4 linked regions of the Neodiprion lecontei genome follow. The main gene of each other region encodes a partner of the protein of the gene in region 2 in a complex. Links are inferred from orthologs where the notes say so. Each region holds a gene or a part of one and is shown on either strand. Other genes may lie near its edges.

Evidence for each region.
Region 1: transcription initiation factor IIE subunit beta (region 2) and general transcription factor IIH subunit 4 share a complex: the UniProt entries of both Homo sapiens proteins name them as parts of the TBP-based Pol II pre-initiation complex. The link is inferred for Neodiprion lecontei from reciprocal best matches to the Homo sapiens genes GTF2E2 and GTF2H4.
Region 3: transcription initiation factor IIE subunit beta (region 2) and DNA-directed RNA polymerases I, II, and III subunit RPABC4 share a complex: the UniProt entries of both Homo sapiens proteins name them as parts of the TBP-based Pol II pre-initiation complex. The link is inferred for Neodiprion lecontei from reciprocal best matches to the Homo sapiens genes GTF2E2 and POLR2K.
Region 4: the proteins of transcription initiation factor IIE subunit beta (region 2) and general transcription factor IIE subunit 1 are in contact, whole or in part, in a crystal structure (PDB 5GPY), measured with the Homo sapiens proteins. The link is inferred for Neodiprion lecontei from reciprocal best matches to the Homo sapiens genes GTF2E2 and GTF2E1. Residues at the interface, in NP_002086.1 of Homo sapiens: Asp159, Gln160, Arg161, Gly162, Leu163, Gly164, Gly165, Leu167, Leu190, Val192, Asn193, Arg194, Pro195, Ile200, Phe202, Cys208, Gln209, Phe210, Ser211, Val212, Asp213, Glu215, Phe216, Gln217, Leu219, Trp220, Arg221, Val223, Thr224, Val225; in NP_005504.2 of Homo sapiens: Arg16, Lys19, Tyr20, Val21, Arg23, Gly24, Phe25, Tyr26, Ile28, Glu29, Leu32, Arg39, Leu51, Leu52, Lys53, Phe54, Asp55, Gln58, Gly68, Asp69, Lys70, Phe71, Lys73, Thr98, Asn101, Val102, Val103, Lys104, Tyr105, Lys106.

The regions. Positions count from the first base shown.
Region 1 is NC_060264.1:26,469,267-26,475,139, reverse strand, and holds general transcription factor IIH subunit 4, read right to left. Parts: upstream 4,050-5,873; 5' UTR 3,518-4,049; coding exon 3,004-3,517; intron 2,616-3,003; coding exon 2,491-2,615; intron 2,090-2,490; coding exon 1,884-2,089; intron 1,772-1,883; coding exon 1,598-1,771; intron 1,501-1,597; coding exon 1,414-1,500; coding exon of another isoform or gene 1,410-1,413; intron 1,333-1,409; coding exon 1,117-1,332; intron 971-1,116; coding exon 889-970; 3' UTR 529-888; downstream 1-528. Other genes in the region: cyclin-C, read left to right, coding at 156-358; sprouty-related, EVH1 domain-containing protein 1, read left to right, coding at 5,042-5,061, 5,848-5,873. UniProt on the Homo sapiens protein: Component of the general transcription and DNA repair factor IIH (TFIIH) core complex, which is involved in general and transcription-coupled nucleotide excision repair (NER) of damaged DNA and, when complexed to CAK, in RNA transcription by RNA polymerase II.
Region 2 is NC_060261.1:43,445,190-43,449,179, reverse strand, and holds transcription initiation factor IIE subunit beta, read right to left. Parts: upstream 2,353-3,990; 5' UTR 2,216-2,352; coding exon 2,154-2,215; intron 2,015-2,153; coding exon 1,750-2,014; intron 1,610-1,749; coding exon 1,400-1,609; intron 1,320-1,399; coding exon 999-1,319; 3' UTR 523-998; downstream 1-522. UniProt on the Homo sapiens protein: Recruits TFIIH to the initiation complex and stimulates the RNA polymerase II C-terminal domain kinase and DNA-dependent ATPase activities of TFIIH. Both TFIIH and TFIIE are required for promoter clearance by RNA polymerase.
Region 3 is NC_060264.1:19,860,971-19,864,366, forward strand, and holds DNA-directed RNA polymerases I, II, and III subunit RPABC4, read right to left. Parts: upstream 1,765-3,396; 5' UTR 1,620-1,764; coding exon 1,559-1,619; intron 1,258-1,558; coding exon 1,165-1,257; intron 717-1,164; coding exon 694-716; 3' UTR 528-693; downstream 1-527. UniProt on the Homo sapiens protein: DNA-dependent RNA polymerase catalyzes the transcription of DNA into RNA using the four ribonucleoside triphosphates as substrates.
Region 4 is NC_060263.1:15,135,726-15,141,014, forward strand, and holds general transcription factor IIE subunit 1, read left to right. Parts: upstream 1-1,582; 5' UTR 1,583-1,597; coding exon 1,598-1,629; intron 1,630-1,661; coding exon of another isoform or gene 1,662-1,707; exon of another isoform or gene 1,708-2,161; intron 2,162-2,163; coding exon 2,164-2,297; intron 2,298-2,384; coding exon 2,385-2,551; intron 2,552-2,620; coding exon 2,621-2,749; intron 2,750-2,831; coding exon 2,832-3,058; intron 3,059-3,139; coding exon 3,140-3,347; intron 3,348-3,435; coding exon 3,436-3,664; intron 3,665-3,740; coding exon 3,741-3,916; 3' UTR 3,917-4,290; coding exon of another isoform or gene 4,291-4,321; 3' UTR 4,322-4,760; downstream 4,761-5,289. Other genes in the region: putative ATPase N2B, read right to left, coding at 4,291-4,321; rab-like protein 3, read right to left, coding at 296-475, 586-699, 885-1,033, 1,117-1,326, 1,662-1,707; arrestin homolog, read right to left, coding at 5,135-5,280.

The sequences.
Region 1 (5,873 bases), on a different chromosome or scaffold from region 2:
CGTATTAGGCGAAATCCGACTGAACTGGACGTGTTTGGCTTCGTAAGTGTATCGTTCTCTCCCTGAACGGAGTATAATAATGTATCAACATTGACCAGTTTAGTGCAGTTTTTCTTCTTCATTTTTTCTTTTGTTTAATATATTTCTACGAATAGGTTGCCTGCAAATTGCCTGTGTAATACTGCAAAAAGATTTAAAGTCATGGTTTGCCGAGTTGAATGTGGATATGGAAAAGATTCAGGAGATTGCCAGGTACATAATTAACTTATACGAGTTGTGGAGAACTTATGACGAGAAGAAAGAAATACAAGGATTATTGGGCAAAATGCCGAAACCAAAGGCTGCACCGCAACGCTGACATCAACCTCCTGCGGATCCTTTGAACTGGGAATCACGTCAGGAGGATCGTTTGTACAATTAATTACTTAATCTTTATAAAAAATTATTGGACCGTAAGGAATGAGAGAATATTATTTTGCTCTCTGCTACATTGACTGTGAGAATATTTGGGAAATTACGATCATCAAATATTGATAAATTTAATCAAATTTATTTCCTTATTTTCGTAACCTTTATCATAGAAATTATTTATATCATTGACACTGTAATCCCACTAGCTTCCAGGTCTTTGTAACTTCTTATCAGGACTGGCATAATTATAGTTATCATCAAGAGCATTATTGTTACTCCAACGCCGCTTTATTCCAGAGTGATCGGTGGCAGACTTTTGCAACCACTTTACCTACAAGTGCTCAAAAAGTGAAAATAGTAGTCTCATTCAGGAAGTAAATAATATTAACACAGTCTGAACATGTGAGACATACTGTAGTTGAAAGATGAAGAATTCGCCAGCAGGTAGCAATGCCCAAAGCAAAGCAAAAATTGAAATCAACTGCTTCCTTTCGAATAACGCTTCCAAAACTTTTTGACGTCATCATGACCCGCTTTTGTGACAACCATAGTCCGCTTTCTGTAAACAAAATGGTGAAAGAATGATCATCTCATTTTGAATATACTATGTTGTTTAATATCAAATAAGAATAAATGAAAATTAATTATACCAAAGTTAGACAATAAGCCCACATCCCTATTCTGTATTTTATATAATAACATTACCTTTCGCTTTGCCAGATTAGAACTTGGGTGGTGAGCGCGTGATCTCTGAGTACTTCAAAGTCAGTCTGTGAAAGAAACTGACTATACAGAACGCCCTCGCTAAATATAAATCTATTTCTTTCGTTTTCCCACAACTTGATTTGATCCACTATGGTAGGGGGCAAAGTTGGTGGTCCTAAGGCAATCATCTTAGGATGGGCATGCTGATGTAGGTATCTGTACAAGAAATGATTTTAGAATTGGGGCATTAATGAAACATCGAATAATGTGCGTATACCAATATTATTACGTACATACCCAACGATTTGTTCAGCTGTAATGCCGCTCTTCAGAGCTTGCCTCACTGAATCTCTTGTTAAAATGGATACAACCAAGTTTGGGAACCTGAAAACGGCCAAAATTACAAATCAGTAGTTGGTTTTCTGAAATTGAATAGGTGAAAAAAACTGATATTGCTTTAGACAATTTTTTCCATGCTTACCTGTAAAGCATTTCACAAAAGAGACCAAGCAGAGCGACTTGCAAATTAGAATTGGTATAAGCGTAAACTCTGTAATTGGTTTCCACGACTATATATCCTTCCTTCTCTAAGTCACTTGACAGAGGCTTATTTTGACCTGTGGCAATGTTTAGTGCTAGCCTGGTAGGGTAAAATCTAAGAAAATAAAACATACGGTATTACAATTTTAATATATTTATAAAGTATTTTCAGTATGTACACGCAGATAGAATGTGGAATAGATTCATCAGTTTGTTGAAATAATTACCTTCCAGCCTTACGTTTTCTTTGATAGACCAGACCAAATTCTCTGAGGTGCTGCAAAAATGTCAATAGTCCCTCTGACATACCTTCAGTACTGTAATCTTTTCCCAATGTCGAGAAATTCAATTGAAACAAGAAGGTTAGACAAACGACCAGATCCAGACCCCTGGCTTCTATAGTGTCCAAGTATTGAAGAATGAAGTACCAGACCTGAAAAGTAGTCAAATCATAGCTAATTGCTACTTAGTATTACGAGTTGGTACCTTGGAACGTATGGTGAAATAAAGAATACACAGGGTTACAAAGAGCTATCGCCCCCTAGGCTACCAATAGTACGAGGAATACACAGGTAGCTTATGGTGCGATAATCCCAAGTCACTTTGTATATGGTGGTCATAAACTGAATATTATATTACCATGAAAGACTGCTAATTTGTACAGTGTAAACAATAAATTGATGACTGGCCTATCAGTTGCTATTGTAAACCATGCACAACATTTACATTTTCAAGTAAGGAAAGGTTTTACACAAACACTACACGCAATCAACTTTTGTTTTGACTTTTGAGTAGCCAAAATTTAACCATCTTATAATTGACAGAATATCTTACCTGGGACGCTGTATCTAGCAGTAGAAACTGAAATCCTGCTTGTGTAATGACTGGGCTGCCGTCTTCCTCATCACGTTTCATCAGTCCAGCATGTAGCAGTATTCTTACCGCATCAGCCGATATTCCTAAGTTAAATCATTTGAAGCTGGCTATAAAAATTCAAAATTCAAATTTTCCTGATTTCGTGGCTCCTCAGAACCAATATTCACATTTTCGTTCCATATTAATTCTCTATGCTCAAACTTGTTAGTAAATTGTGATAGGTAATGGAACATTTCAATGGTTGATTTTTCTGTGGGTTTACTCTATCAAAATCAGTCGTATTAGCAAGTACTCCATCCTATATATTGTTTTGCTTCTGGTTGTGTACATGGCTTAGCCATTGGAGCATTTTTTATATCGCCTTGGAAAGATTTTGTGACTCTTTCAGATTTCAATATTTACATACATTAATTGATAAGTTATTGCAATTTGTAGCTTTTAAGATCATTTTGACAGCATAAACTGGCTCACCTTCTTGCTGCTGAGATCCGACCATGTAATGGAGAACACACTCCCACCTTTCCAAGGCATACGTATCTAGGAAGGCGACGTCTCGTGGTTTATTATCGGTTTCTAACTGATTTGACATCGTCCAAGGTTTACCGCCACCAAGTAAAACTATTTTCAAATTCTTCTTCAACGTTGAATTCAAAATCCACCCAGGTAGACCACCGGGGATTGATGCTTCCTTCCAGATATTCAGCTCATTGAGAATTTTGACGACCTTCTGATGCTCATCGGTATGTAACTTTGAACACCATGAAGCTATGACTGCCTGAGGTACGGGCTGTTCAACGAACAGCAACCGCATAACATAATGCCTGGCTATTTCAGGCAATTCCCGAAAAACGGCCAGACAAATCGGAGGGTTGTGATACAGTTTATTCAACGTTTCTGGCGGCCGAGTCTTTAGATATTCATGAAGATCTTTGCACTGCAGCCCAGTTGGACGCAATAAATTCTTACCACTTATCGTGTTTGACATGTTCGCATCAAGTCTTTGCCACTATTATTAACAAGCTTATGAATAGACTCCAGATCTTTTCTTGGCTGTCAACACACACATCTCGTCTCAGTTTTGGTTACTTTTCTGCAACTTTATAAACACAACCGCCACGCTGGGCTACTGAATGGGTACAACCTTTTATCGTTCAAACGGCCGTGGAAACAGCATAACCTATATTTTTATATTTTATACTCCGTTCGACGTCTCGGTCAGCCGTTGGCATAAATTCACCGAATAGGGATCAGTGGGTGAATTCCTGACATAGGTTACTCATATTCAATCACAGATAGCAGCCTCACAGTTACAGTTCAGTACTTATCCATACACAGACATACCGACAGAAATGTTTTGTCTTCTTCTAGCTCCTGGATTAGATAAAAACAGAGAACGTCCTATTACCAACCAAACGGCACGAACGACAGTCGCACTGATCAAAATTCTTAGGGCTAATTTTCCTACATGCTGGAGTACCCAACATTTTTGGAACTAATTCTTAAGGTCCATGGTAGGTAACTATGTCAGTAAACGACCAATATTCTGCAGTATTTAGCTTCAGGAACTAAGGAATGAACCAAACAGAACTAGGCCCGCCTCTCGCGGGAACAGATGGCAGTTTTCTTCTACGGAGCACGTCGAACTGCAGCAAACCCTTCTATCCATGCTTTTACTAACCCCTACTGTTCTATTGTGCAGTGTGCGATGGGATCGCACACCATTGACCATCGCATACAGTATAAGCATAAACCGACCCGCGCGATCCTCGTGTGAATGCGAGCCGATGAATGGGCTCGTAGCGCGGGTCCTATTCATTCATCCAGGTGTTATTAAACCAAAAGAAGAAAACGAAAGGAAGAATACAAGATAAATAAATAAATATAAATAATTCGCCAAGTATGGCGAGGTTGATTCTGCTCGAGACTCATAGCGAACATCATCTGCAGCTGCATCCTGATAACAATTATTAATTCCTATAGCGTGGTGACAAACGGATACACATCGATCGAGAGCATGGCTATTATACATGTATACGCGTTCTTCTATAAGAATAAATAAACGGAAAATATGAACGATGTGGCGGAGAGGACTGTTCGTTTAACATTAATGTGAAATTCGCTGTATTTCCAAACGTCGACGGTATTCCCGAGGAAGTAAAAACTGAAAGGAGACAAGGAACGACGACGCTCGTGGCTCGTCGCGGCGCGGGTAGATCAACGACGACGGGTTATAAGCCAGGGATCGCTCGGCTCTGGGCGGGGCGGAGCGAGGGGTTTGTCGTCGGTCGTCGGTCGAGGGCAAGCGGGACGTGCGGGGTTATTCGGGGGGCAGAGGTGGATTGGGGCGCTTCCTGTAGTTGGCGCTAGCCTAAAAAAAAAAGAAAGACAGCAAAGGAGTAAAAAGAGAGTTCACACGGTAGAATCGCGGTCGAATGTATTTTCAATGCAACGAAAATGGTGAAATTTGGGAAAAAGTGGGCATCGAGTAAAGGCTTTGACAGCTCGAACCATGACAGAGGCGTCGGAAGAGTAAGTAGATATAAAACGAATCATATTATTCTACCGAGCAAACAGCCCTGCTGTGCTATACTTCCATCGCCTACGATACATGATCAACGAACGCAGACATGCACACCTAAACCCACGCATACGCTCACGGAAAACAAAAATATTACACCTTAGCTACGATATACTCCGTTAAATACACGTATCCGCATTTACATGTTTCCAAACGCTTATGCACGTATCTATGCAACCGTACACCCTGCTCTACTCGACCGATTTCACCCTACTTCCAGCGACCGTTCTATCCTTTTTTTCGCACAGGGCTAGGTCTTCCGTCAATCGCTTCCACCATTTTATTCGGATTTCATTCTAAAATACAGTACTCTTTCCTCTCATCATTCGGCCAACGCATGATTCCTCGGTCACGCTTCCTTCCTGAGCCGATTATCCCTGTTTCGCACGTAATGTACGTAACGTATGTACGCGAATGCTGTCAACCCCTGCCTACCTAACATCCGTCATTCCATCAGTTGTCGAAAACTGTTCCACTAACGTCTATCGCGCGTATGTTCGTGTCTCACCTCCCTGCGTCCATCCAGCCCTTCCCCAGCTGTCATTGTACGATCCATTCATGAAATCCATCGGCCGTACGCGATTGATAATTTGCCGATTCCCCCACACGCGCGATTTCAGAAGGATTCGAGATCAGCCTTAACTTAATCAGAATCATTGGTCTGAACGATTTTGAGAGAGAAAAACACTTTCACTTCATTCTTTTACAACAGTTGAACGACTTTTAACACTTTCCAGTGGTAACTACTTGGTAAGGGTCAGGG
Region 2 (3,990 bases):
TTTTTCAACAGCAACTCTAGTTTTACAATTAGAGATATTGTAACGAATGATTTACGACGGGATACCCTGTATGTCCGTGGAGCTGAAACGCTTTCGTCGTTATATTTCAACTATTACAATTTATATTAATGCTGTAAAATAATCTGGTTGAAGGTTGTATAATTTGTGTAAATCGTAAGTTAAATTATTATACCCTAAGGTGCTGAAGACTTGACTTAGTGCCTTTAAGATCGATATAATTACCGTCGTTAATTTTACTATCATTCGTATTGTACTCAAATACTACGCTTTTGGAGTATTTTAATTGCCACTACCAAATAAGATCTTGCGGAAACTTGAATCCCGATGATCCAGCGCGCTAAGACAACAATCCGAACCCATGTAATTGGATCAAGCATTGAATAACGTGGATATCAGGAGAAAATTGTTTAACAAGCGTTAGAACAGATTAATCTTTGAATACACTTTGAACAGTTCTAATATATCAATGCAAATCACGAATCATGCTTTTTCCATTTCGCACAACTTGGCCGTGAGAAATAGAAAGCAAATTGCAAAGTTGCGCGAAAATCCTCGAAATCTCATGTCTGAAATGCACTTTCTATGGAATTCCATGGTGGCGGAAAAAGTATCAACGATCGTCGTTTGATACTTTGTTATTTTTTAAACTTTGTGCTACAATATACTTCGGTTCAATCATCATACCTATGTAGTCGCGAATACAACTAGGTAGACTTCCGATGTAACTAAATATTGCAAGACGAGAGGCTTATTGGTCTTTAATATATTCATTCAGAGAGAGGAAAGAAATGGCAATTGAAATATAGATGAAGCGGACTAGTTATTGTTCAAAATATTATAGATATATATTTATTTTGTACTTACAAGCTAGTTTAGACGATAACAATAATAAATCACATTGTTTATTTATTCTTATACAAACGATATTTACAATCCTTGATTAAGCCATCTATCTATAAAGTCTTTAAATTTCGGCTTCATTTATTGTCGTCGTAGGTTTCCAAAACATCTGCCAAATGCTCGTTGTCTCGTGGTTTTTTGAACTGCTTCTTCCTTGCGTTTGGTTTTTTCCTTTTAATGGGTGCAGGCTTCTTTGGTCCGTGATCCTGCATCGACCTAATTCCCTGTTTCTCAAGGTATTCATCGATCTTCTGATCGTCCATTGCGTCGACTGCAACAGCCCTCCACAATTTTTGAAATTCATCGTCGACTATAAATTGGGCCGTTTTGTCGTTGTAGAACACTATCTTTTTCTTATCCAAAGGTCTTGTTATGAAGAGTATTTCGTTCTGGAGACTCTGCGCATCAGTAAGATAAAAAATAACACGATTTGCACCAAAATAATAGCTCATTAATATCCTGAGGGAGAACGATTTACCTTCAGAGCTTTGTCGCAATGCGGCAAACTCTCCTGAATGTCTTCAAGCAGGATGCCTCCGAGTCCCTTAAGATCCTGCTGCTTCAAGAGTCTGAGTAACGATTTCTTGTCTTTTATTTTGTACATCGCTTTGAAGGAGAATCTTCCATCTGGAGAGACTTCGATCTTTGGATTGTTAATCAACGACTCTGTCAGCAGCCATTGTTTTACCTGCACGAATAAAGAATGGTAAATAGAATTACTGGTAGTATAGTTGAATTTTAATGCAAGCTCTGGCTTTAGCACGATTTATCTTTTGATTGAAATAATCGCAAGTATTTTTAAGCAGTTCTACAAAATGTTTGGATCACCTTAGATCCGACGTCGAGCTGATTTGTCTCGTCTAAAATCTCGTCGAGGGTGAGAGGATGGTCATCGCCCTCCTGATGCCGCGACTTCATGTGCTTAACTATTTTTGCCAAGACTCCGAATCTGTACTGCGAACTGCCAGACATGGTCTTGTAGTTGACCATGTCCAACTTCGGCGCGGCAGAGGAGGATAATGGCTTGCTCTTTTTTTTTGGCGGCTCATCACGGATCGGTTCCTTCTCGGGTTCTCTCTTTTTTTTCTCTACACTGAAAGTGTTAAGAGGCGGTTATTTCTTAAACTAAGCACTTCAGAGCCTTCCAATATTTTTCAATTCTTCGCAATGCGGTTAATTCACAGTTTCTCACTAATTTACAGGTTAGAAACGCGCAGCGTTGTTTTACTCACGTTGGTGTGGTGAGGGCTCGCTTTTTGAAGAGCTCTCGCTCCCTTAACAGCGCTGGATCCATTTCGTAATTCTTAAAACTTCTACCGTACGAGTTTATCACGGATATAAATGAATTTAACAAGTCTGCCTTTTAGATAGTTTACACTTTGCAGTTTACACCCTCAAAACAGTTGACAGGTGCGTTTCTAACGTTTTTCGCCTACCAGCGCCCTCTGATACGAAGAAGTTCGTGAACTAATTTTCGTTGGTAAGCGAATGTCGATATCGAAAGTAGTCGATAATGTAGAGTGCATTTATCACGGGGAATGCTGGTGGGTGGTTGAGAACTAACAGACGATAAACATTAGCGAACTTAGATTAATTGTCAGTATACATATTGACTGTGTTATATTATGGTGATCAGTGATTCGAAAGGGGAATTCATCTCTGTCCGCACGTACCATTCGCGGATTACCTTCGTGATACTTCATCTCTTGGATGTACTGTTATCTCTGCAGCGTAAGAAATGCGCCTGTGCCTGCTGGCGACGGCAACTGTCTAAGCACGGTTCCGACACGACGGCGACTTGATTCGGCAGCTTCACGCCGTGTCGGCGGGAAAATTGGCTCATGAAAATAGATACCGACGCAACGGTTGATTGCCGCGCGTTGAAACCCACGTGATTAGGTCAATGGATCTCAATTACATTTTCATTCGAAGAGTTAAAAAATCTAGGATTGTTAATTGAAAGTGTGAAAAAATGGAGAATATCAAATCTCTCGTTGAATTATGTCGAGAAAATGCGAAGAGGACACAGGGGTATTGTTTATTTATTGATTGTAATACAGGTTCCATGCAATAGTAATAATACAATATCATACATATCGTATCCTGCAGATGTATGTATGTACATACATTGCACCTGTGTGTAGGACAGAACTTGAACCGTACTCACAAACTACAAAAATAACTATCTCATACAACGTTTTTCGTATTTTGCTTGAAGTGATGTATATTTTACTTCTTTTTCCTCCTAGTCTCTTTGTCTTTCACTTTAATATTACTTGGCAGCTTGTTGAACACAGACTGTCTACATGTCTATAGATGAATACACTGACACCTGAACACTTGTACGAGAACTAAGACACATTGGATAAACTGGAACTGGAACTTTGTAGCTGTGAGTTTGTGATTTTGCTTTTACATCTCTTTGAAAACCCGGTACAAAATTCATGTTCTTTAGCCGTAAGTTTTTATGCGTAGCTGGCAGCGTGTCTAGACTGCGCAATGGATTCGTCTGGGAAAGTTAAGTCGAGATGGTGCACTGAAAAAGTAATTCAACTATTTTACAAAGTCAGACAAACTCCCACTGAAAAAATCCAAAGAGGTTAGTCCTACTTTTTGAACCAAAAAATCTTTTGTCTCAAATTGATTTGTTTGATGCCTTCTAGATTAATCGGACCCCCAAAAATGCAGAAAATATGACATCAAAAACAGCGTTGGACTAGCAGCAGAGAAATTTATAAAAAGACTTTCGGTTTTTTGACTCTACGACGAGAAAATTGCTACATGCTCAATACATAACGCAATCACCGGTAGTTGCGTATAGCTTCGTGTTTCTTATATCATATTTGTTGAAAATCGCTGTAAGTTTTCAATCGATATTTGGCAGTAATAATCACCAGTTAGGCAATACATAAGGTGGCCCTATACTGAAATAGTCGGTGGCAGTTTTCCGACTATTTTCATTGCAAGCAGCGGGTGGAAGTTAATACGAATATCGTTAATTAATTCGGAAAATTCCTTCTCTTGCGATCTTTTTCGACATTTCGCGTGAAATAATGGATTTAATTAAAA
Region 3 (3,396 bases), on a different chromosome or scaffold from region 2:
TACCATTGGAACCAAATGATGGCTTTTGCCTGTTGATATCAGATCGAGGGACCGGAGTGTAGGATTTTATAAACATTATACATACATACATAGGTATTAGCTAGATGTATAAAATAATACGTAGTTAAAATAGGTAGAATCCAACTTTTATCAATTATTAAAATTATACATGTATTCGCATAGGCTCCCGATTGTTCACAAGCTCCGTTGCTCTTCCACCTTTACCTTCTTCTCTGTACCTAACCTCTTCCGTAATTCAGCGTAAATTAAACAAAAAATCTGTTAACGAACTCTTATATACTTTATTGATGCAAAAAAGGAAAAAAAAGATGAAAAAAAAGTGTAATTTATTTATTGTAAATGAAGAAAGTATATTGCCTAAAAAAATGAAAATAATGAAATTAAAAGAAATAAAAAGAAAAAAAGACAAACGAGTTTTAAATTCATTTACAACCAAAGTAAAAAACGTATTCAATTGTGTTGCTTAGAAGTAAGAAAATTTGATGTATTAAATAAGCTAAAATATATTTCTTTGACATATATGTCATTTATTTCACATACAAGAAAAAATGGTCAAATATTAATTCATCGCAGTGTAATTACATATAATAAATTGAGGCGCGATGATCATCTTCATAGAATTCCATTATTGTTAAGAATTTGTACAGGGTTTTGTGGCTGGTCACAACACATCTATCGAGCATCGAAGACGACGACTGTTTATTATTATTGTGTTAAGGAATGTAAAGGAGATGTGTTTTCCAAATTTTTGTAGTGAGTTTATTTTTGATTTTATAAGGTCAGTGGTGAAATCATCAGCTGGCAAGATATCGAACAATGATGTTGTAGTATGGGAATTTATTAATCGTAACAATAATTTGAAAACATGTGAAAAGTCCCTGAACTCGTCAGTGAAAAGATAGCGTTGAATTTCAGCGGAAAGCAACCTAGTGTTATAGGTTGTTGCGTTAAAACATTTACGTGGATGAAGTTTAAAACCAAGAAAGTCAAAAAACTCTGCTGCTATCAGTGCTGATCTTTCAATCGAAGTGATGCCAAATTGGACTCATAGTAAACTATTTTTTTTTGATCTGACAGAAGAAGGCCAAAGTTCAATAAGTTGATTAAACAATTGGTGAGGCAGACAACAATAGAAAAGGATACGTCGCTTGGTGCGTTTCTTGTACATTATCCTGTACCCACATTCTCGGCAACGTATCGGATCTCTAGGACGGATCTCGTTGTCGTGGTGACATTCTGAAAACGAGATGTAAAACAATAATGAAAAGAAGAATAAGCCAGAGAAGATACAACAGAGAAAACTGATAAATAACCAAACAGACAGGATGCTTGATCGTTGTGTGATGTTTAATCATGTGTCAAGTAAGTTTAAGGTTGCGATTGTATTGATTACTTGTGAAGTTGAAACAAGATGCTACAATAACTTTTGTTCTTAAAAAAAAAACTCTTATTCAGACCCACGTGTAGCCGTATCGGTAAACAAAGCTATGCATAACATAACCTCGATGATCCAAGTTTGAGGCAAAGTATCGCTCACCTCCGCAGATGTAAACCATAGCTTGCTTAGGCGCAGATTCCGCTTTACTGCTAGTGTCCATATCACGAGGTAATCAAGATAATTAAGCCAATATTTATGCGTTTCTTACGGATCCTTCTGCTCGTCTCCGAAAATCGTTGTGTTTAGAACGCTTAAAAGTGTTAAAGTAACCTTACTTAACCTAATGTAATGTCGATATTATACCTGGTTAGTTCCCCGACAATCCACGATGCACAAGAAGCGCTAAAATCGGCGCGCACAATTGCATTGCATGGCGTGAGACAATAGCGAAGACACATCCGACACTTACCGATCGAGTGGTTGTTGCAATAAACATGTTTTTGGGTAATAATACCCACATTAGCATGGAAGTATGAATTAATTGAATGAGGGTAGTTGAGAACTGTTTTCATACAATATCCTCGATATTTTTATAGATCTGGTAATTTGCCTATCCTAGATATCAATCTAACCGACAGCAGGTTAGAGTAAGCTTTTCAAGCACTTATCCTCAAAGTTTGGCGATGCAGTTTGATTAATTGGTCAAGTCGCATCCTTCGCAAAGGTTTTTCGGTGATTTGGTATTCTCGACATCATGTTGAAGATATAATTCAGCTTGACAATTGAAATACTTAGTATCGAACAGTAACAAAAAATCCGAAATATATATAGATGGTACTCCATTTTTCTATCATTTTCCGTCAGGTAAAACGAACCTTAATGAATTCGTAATGAAAATCTCTGGAGAACGATTGACCGCGAAGACAGACATGTCGAATTTGCAGGGTTGGCAACCGTGCGATGCGTTCCCGCCTTTCCCGCCTAGTATACCGCGGCTCTCGCTGGCGGGCGTCCCTGCCGTCCCGCCTCCTTGTCAGGATCTCGCGCGGTTTAGAGAAAGAGAAAGAGTAGTGATCGAATCGCGGAGCAGCGAGGAAGTGTGCCATCACAGCGTGCGTGTTGGCGGGACACGGTGTTGTTCTCAGCCTGCGATAGCGATAATATAAGCGTAGGCGTGCAAACGAGAGGAGAAGAAGAAGACGCGTTACACCAGAAAAGGAAAAAGAATCCAATAACAGAAAACAAATCTCGCCGCCAATGGGATTCGGTTCGGCTGAACCGGCGGGAGAGCAGCTGCACCGCCAGACGGCGTCCTCGCACCCGATTGGCTGAGATCCGGCGGTCGGCCCTCGGTAGGGCAACGGATAAACAGTTTTGAAAGGACTCAACTAGTCGAGTATCTCCACAGTCTCCGAGCAGGACCGGCTGCCCACGGAGCAGCAGCCAGTAACAGCAGCAGCACGCAGCGTGTCGAGCGGTCGGCGTGCGCGTTACGTTTAGTTCCCGGTGTTTTGTTGTGTCGCGCGGTCCTGTGACTGTTATCGTTTCTATCTATTCTTCAAAGAATTGGTTAAGTCGGTACGTTCGCGCAGTGAAAATAGAGGATATTATTCGCGCTCCTTTGGTCATTTACTCGTGATCGTGCATCCGATCAAGTGGTTTTTGTGTGTCTCATGTTGTGTGGTGATGCAGGTTTTCGTTACATCCGATGAACGTGAATGAATAAGGTGCGTGTCAAAAGTTTCTCGCTCAAATACATATCCATTCAAGTCAAAATATTGTAAAACCCACGTGTGTTTGTTGTTACTATTTATCTCCGCGTACCGTGACTCTTGTGTGTGTGTCTTTTCTTCATGTAGTTTCATTGCCGTGACCGATCAGTGCCGTTTATTTACTCGATTGTGTCTCGTGGAGAGAATAAGACTATTGGATACAGAAGCTGCGGCTGGCAGATCGTCGATTGAAGAGGGGCGACCCGGCGTGTTTGTTTACCGTAC
Region 4 (5,289 bases), on a different chromosome or scaffold from region 2:
AATCGTTTGTACGGAATGAAAAGTCTCTCATCAAATACTGCTTCGTCGATATGAAAGGAAAAGAAGAAACAATTTTTCACAGTAACTGCGAAAATCAGTTTCTTTTGCTTCAAGACTAAAACCCCTCAATACGGAATTGATAACGGCCTTCGAGTCTCAAGTGAGCTACTGAATGTATTGATTCTTTATTCAGAAATATATATATATATATTTTTTTTTGTAGTTCTGTAAAATAGGGTACAAGGGAGAGTAAAGTGAAATATATTACAATAGATATGATGTGGAGGGTCTTCGTTCAGTCATTGTGATAAAATTTTGGACTATACTGCGAAGAGTATACTGGTAGTCTTCGCTTGTCTGGGCTGATTCCTTCTCTCGCTGAGTAATACCGTCTTTCGATAACTTTGTCGAAAAATCGGCTCAGCTTCACCGAAGAACTCGAGCCTGCAGCCAAGGATCTGACTTGATGACAATCCTGACAATGATCAAAGAAATCTTTAATTTAAAAAATAAAATCAATTTCAACCCAATGAAACAAACATACACAATATTTGGCATCGACCGTTTGCCTTTTAATTTTATTACCAAGAATATTTCGTCCGCTCCACATTCCTCAGCAATTGTAGATGAACGTCGATGAACACTTGATCTCACTTCTGCGGCCAGATCAAACTTTGTTGCAATTACCAAAATTGGTATCTGGAAATAAAATTTCAGGTTTTGACTCTTGTGAGGTGATTTTAATTTTGATAATTGTCAAAACATTACTAATCTATGAATGAAATTTGTAAAACTATACTTTTTTGTAAGCAATTCTCAAGCCATCATTCAAAGTTGACAGATTCTCATTTCATCGGCTAAGCAGCCAATTAAAAAATAGTTACTTGTGTTGAACCGACGAACTGTTCGGGATCAAAGTCGTCGAAAGATTTAGACTTGGAATGGTTACCGTCCTTGTTTAGAACTTCCTGAAGCCACTTCTGGAGATTCTGCTGCGACTTTCTATTAGTCAGATCGTGAACCAAGATAATACCTGAAAATGAGAAAATTCTATTATAATCAGAACACAAGTTTATCACGTATATTTCTGAGATTCTTACACCGTACTTTGCATACCATTTGTCGGATTGTAAAACACAGATCTAGTATTTTGGTGATTCTGACTACCGCCGATGTCCCACAACTCTATAAAGTATCTTCTTTGATTCGGAGTGCCTTCTTTGTACTCATGCAGCTTTACTTCAACCGAACATCCTACTGTCCACGACGGATTCCCTATCGGTTGTTGATGGCATATTAAATGAGTCAGTGAGGTTTTTCCAACACCTGTAAAAATAAAAGGAAGACTTGCTTACAGACTGTTTATATAATAAGTAACAACAAAAGTGGATCAAAATATGCATGTACAGTGCATAGATGGGTAAATAACCTTAAAAACCTCGTGATTTCCCCATGAATAAATATATTCGTAACCAAATTAAATCTACGATTTATTGCCGGAGGAACGGTAAAGCGGCGATGCAAACGAAGAAAATATTAAATTAAGTGAATTGCGTATACGTGGTGATCGCGATCTGTGAACAGATTCTTTTAGCGAATGATCCGAAGAACGAAGAATGCCGTTAATGGGTAAGTGATAATTTAGCAGAGGATAATTATACCAGAATCTCCGACAACGATTATTTTGACCTTATCGATCGCTGCCATTTGTACAGTTACATTCGAATTCTGACTTGAATTTCCTGACAGCAACCGGCGGAGCGGAATCTAGGTACAGTTTTTGTTTGACAAGCTCCACCTCCCCGCCGAACGCGGCATCATAACCTCAAGTAACGACTCTAGCCATCGATGCACCCTGTGTTAAATTTCCGAAAAACTATGCAATTACGCGTTATTTATCCGTGATCGTACCACCGCTGGAACTGTTAATTAAGAATGCGGCAATATTCGTTAATTGGAGTTACAAATAGGCCGTCGAAATAAGAAGAACCGGGTTTTTCCGATAGTTGAAGGTTATAATATCGTTGTGATGGCGAATAAGTAGATAACGAATTGAATGTTTTTACACCTAAGAAATGCATAAGACCACATCAACGCCCTAAAAAAATCCCTCTCACTAACAGTCCGAGTAAATGGTGGGAATTATTGTATTCGAATTATTAGCAGAGAAATGAGTGGGGAGGAAAGATTTGTCACCGAAGTGCCTAGCAGTTTGAAACAACTAGCACGGCTTGTTGTTCGCGGTTTTTATACCATAGAGGATGCCTTAATCGTTGACATGCTGGTCAGAAATCCCTGTAAGTGTAAATCTATTTAATTTGGCATCGCTCATCCCAGCCAACTAAAAAGTTTCAACTGTAGTTTTGTTTGTATCCTTCTATCAGGTATGAAGGAGGACGACATATGCGAGCTGCTAAAATTCGAGCGAAAAATGTTGAGAGCTAGAATATCTACGCTAAGGAATGACAAATTCATTCAAGTTAGACTTAAGATGGAAACTGGATCTGATGGAAAGGCGCAGAAAGTGAACTACTATTTCATCAATTACAAGGTAAAAATTGTCTCAGATTTTCCCTCCAAAATGCCTGCTAAATTTTGAATTTTAATCTTAATCCTTTAGACTTTTGTCAACGTTGTCAAGTATAAGTTGGATCACATGCGTAAGAAAATGGAAACGGAAGAACGAGACGCGACCAGCAGAGCCAGCTTCAAGTGCACAAATTGTCTTAAGACTTTCACGGACCTTGAGGTGAATCTAGCGATAGACAAACGTCTTGATGGACACAATCACAATTTCAATTTTTTTTATGGCAAACAATATTTATTCACAGGCAGATCAACTCTTTGATATGACAACAGACGAGTTCCGATGTACTTATTGTCGGAACATCGTTGAGGAAGATCAATCTGCTCTTCCGAAAAAAGACTCCAGGCTACTTCTGGCAAAATTTAACGAACAATTAGAGCCACTCTACATTCTGCTGCGAGAAGTCGAGGGTATAAAATTGGCACCTGAAATTCTCGAGCCTGAACCTGTTGACATCAATACCATACGAGGGTTAGCAATAAAAATATAATTTTCACTCTTGTTGGACAGCTGCAAATGACAAGTCAACTTTATATTCGACTGACATTACAGCATCGATACGAGGAAGCAAACTGGGCTTCGTGCTCCGGGTGAACAATGGTCAGGAGAGGCGACGAGGTCGTCTGGATTTGCTGTCGAAGATACGAGAGTGGATGTTACCATCGGCGATGAATCGGCCAATGATAACACTGCCAATCGTAGAAAAGAGAGGCCGATTTGGATGATGGAAAGCACTGTGGTAAACACAGATGGATCGCAGGTGTGTAAATGATGATATTGTAGAGAATGTGAATTTGGCAACGAATTTGAGAAAGCTGAATTTGAGAAAGTTGTTTTTGTTATTTCAGACGGACGTGGTTGGAGGCCAAGACAGTATTCTTGATAAGGCTGCAACGAACGCGACAAATGCAACGAACGCAACGAATAAACAGGGCGAAGACATAATGTCGGTGCTACTGGCGCACGAGAAAAAAGGAGGGACTAATGCTGCCAATGCCATTAAGACTGTAATACCTCAAGAATCTAGCGACAGTAGCGATAATGAGGATGTTACAGAGATACAGGCTATCGATATGGGTAATTGCTGCAAGATGATTGTATTTCTCAGCTTTTTAAGATGCTTATTTGAGACTTATTTCTTTGAACGATTCAGGTGATGTAGAGACGATGGATTCAGAGGACGACGACTTGGTGCCCACGGTTAGTGTGGGAGGAAAAACAGTTTCAATTACAGATATCAATGACACTTTGATTGCCGATATGACGCCGGCAGAGAAAGAAGCTTACATTCAAACGTATCAAGAATATTATTCGCACATGTACGATTAGTCTGAAAACAGCTTGCGAGAGTTATATTTTTAAATTAAATTGTACGATGACTGTGAATTTACACACATATACGTGAAGTATGAGAATATTTTGTATAAGTATGAATATAATAAAAATCCATTGTTCACAGCTCCGTGTTTTGTAATTTGCCTTTAACAGCTGACTCGTGTGATACTGAGCTATAATTGCCATGAAAGACTGGTCAAATTTAAGAATTTATTAACATACTTGAAACCTAATATACAATAATATCAATCCAATAACATGTGGAATTAACGATACATTGATCAAGAAAATATATTGAATACGTGATAATAAATAACACTGAATTATTAACAATAATAGAACTAAAATAATTAATCAATAATAATACATGTCACTTCTGGTAAGAACGGGAAATGTCATTATTTATACTATATTAAATGTTTTTCTTTCCCTACCAACTTCTTATGTTATCACTGGATAATAAGTAAAACTTACTTGGGGATATCTTTTTTTTTGCTCGTCTATTTCAAAATTTTTGCTCGACCACCACAATCGAACCCAAATTTGGGGATGATAGAACAAGGATTTTCTGCATATTTTTCGTTTTTTTTTCTTTTTATCAGTTTTTTCGATAATTCAATAGGTAATAATTTTATCGTAAACAAGTTATTTGAGGTAACTTTATGTACATTATAACTTGACTTACGAGACTTGATATATCACTCTACAATTCGGTTTATAACTACTTACTTTTCATTGCTTGCTTTGAAAAGAACCCAAGCATCGCATAATATCACACAAGCAATGGCATCGCGCATCGTTTTTCCCCCTCAATAATTTTTCTTCACGTCCTATACATTAGATCATACAAAAATGTCATCGGCTTTCAGAATATTCGTGGTAACATCAACAAAATCTGATCAGATTTTCTGATTGTTGATACTTTTGAAAGGATTACATTTTCATACTTGCATTTCAAAATTCTTTCACTGTTACGCCAGGCAATTTGATATTTTGCCCTTACAAGCTGTCAACTCGAAAATGAGAATAGACGCATGATTAAAATAAAGACTTAACGATCTTCTATGACTCACTTGCAAACGTAAAATTGGTGCGACTAATTTCAACAATTGAATATTCATAGTGCGAAGTCGTCTACGATGCATATCCATTGCAAAAGTAGATAAATTTACATTCTTTTCATAGCATGTGCAGCGTATACTCCTCGGTGTTTTATTCTGGCTCGTTAAGACGCAAGCGAGCAAAGTCCTCAAAGACAATGTTGTCGTCGTCGTCATTGGCGTAGCAAGAGTTTTCATAGCGTGCACGATCGATGCTCTTGCTCTTCTTCAAAACTGCTTTCTCCTTCTCTAGGGCACCTGTCGCAG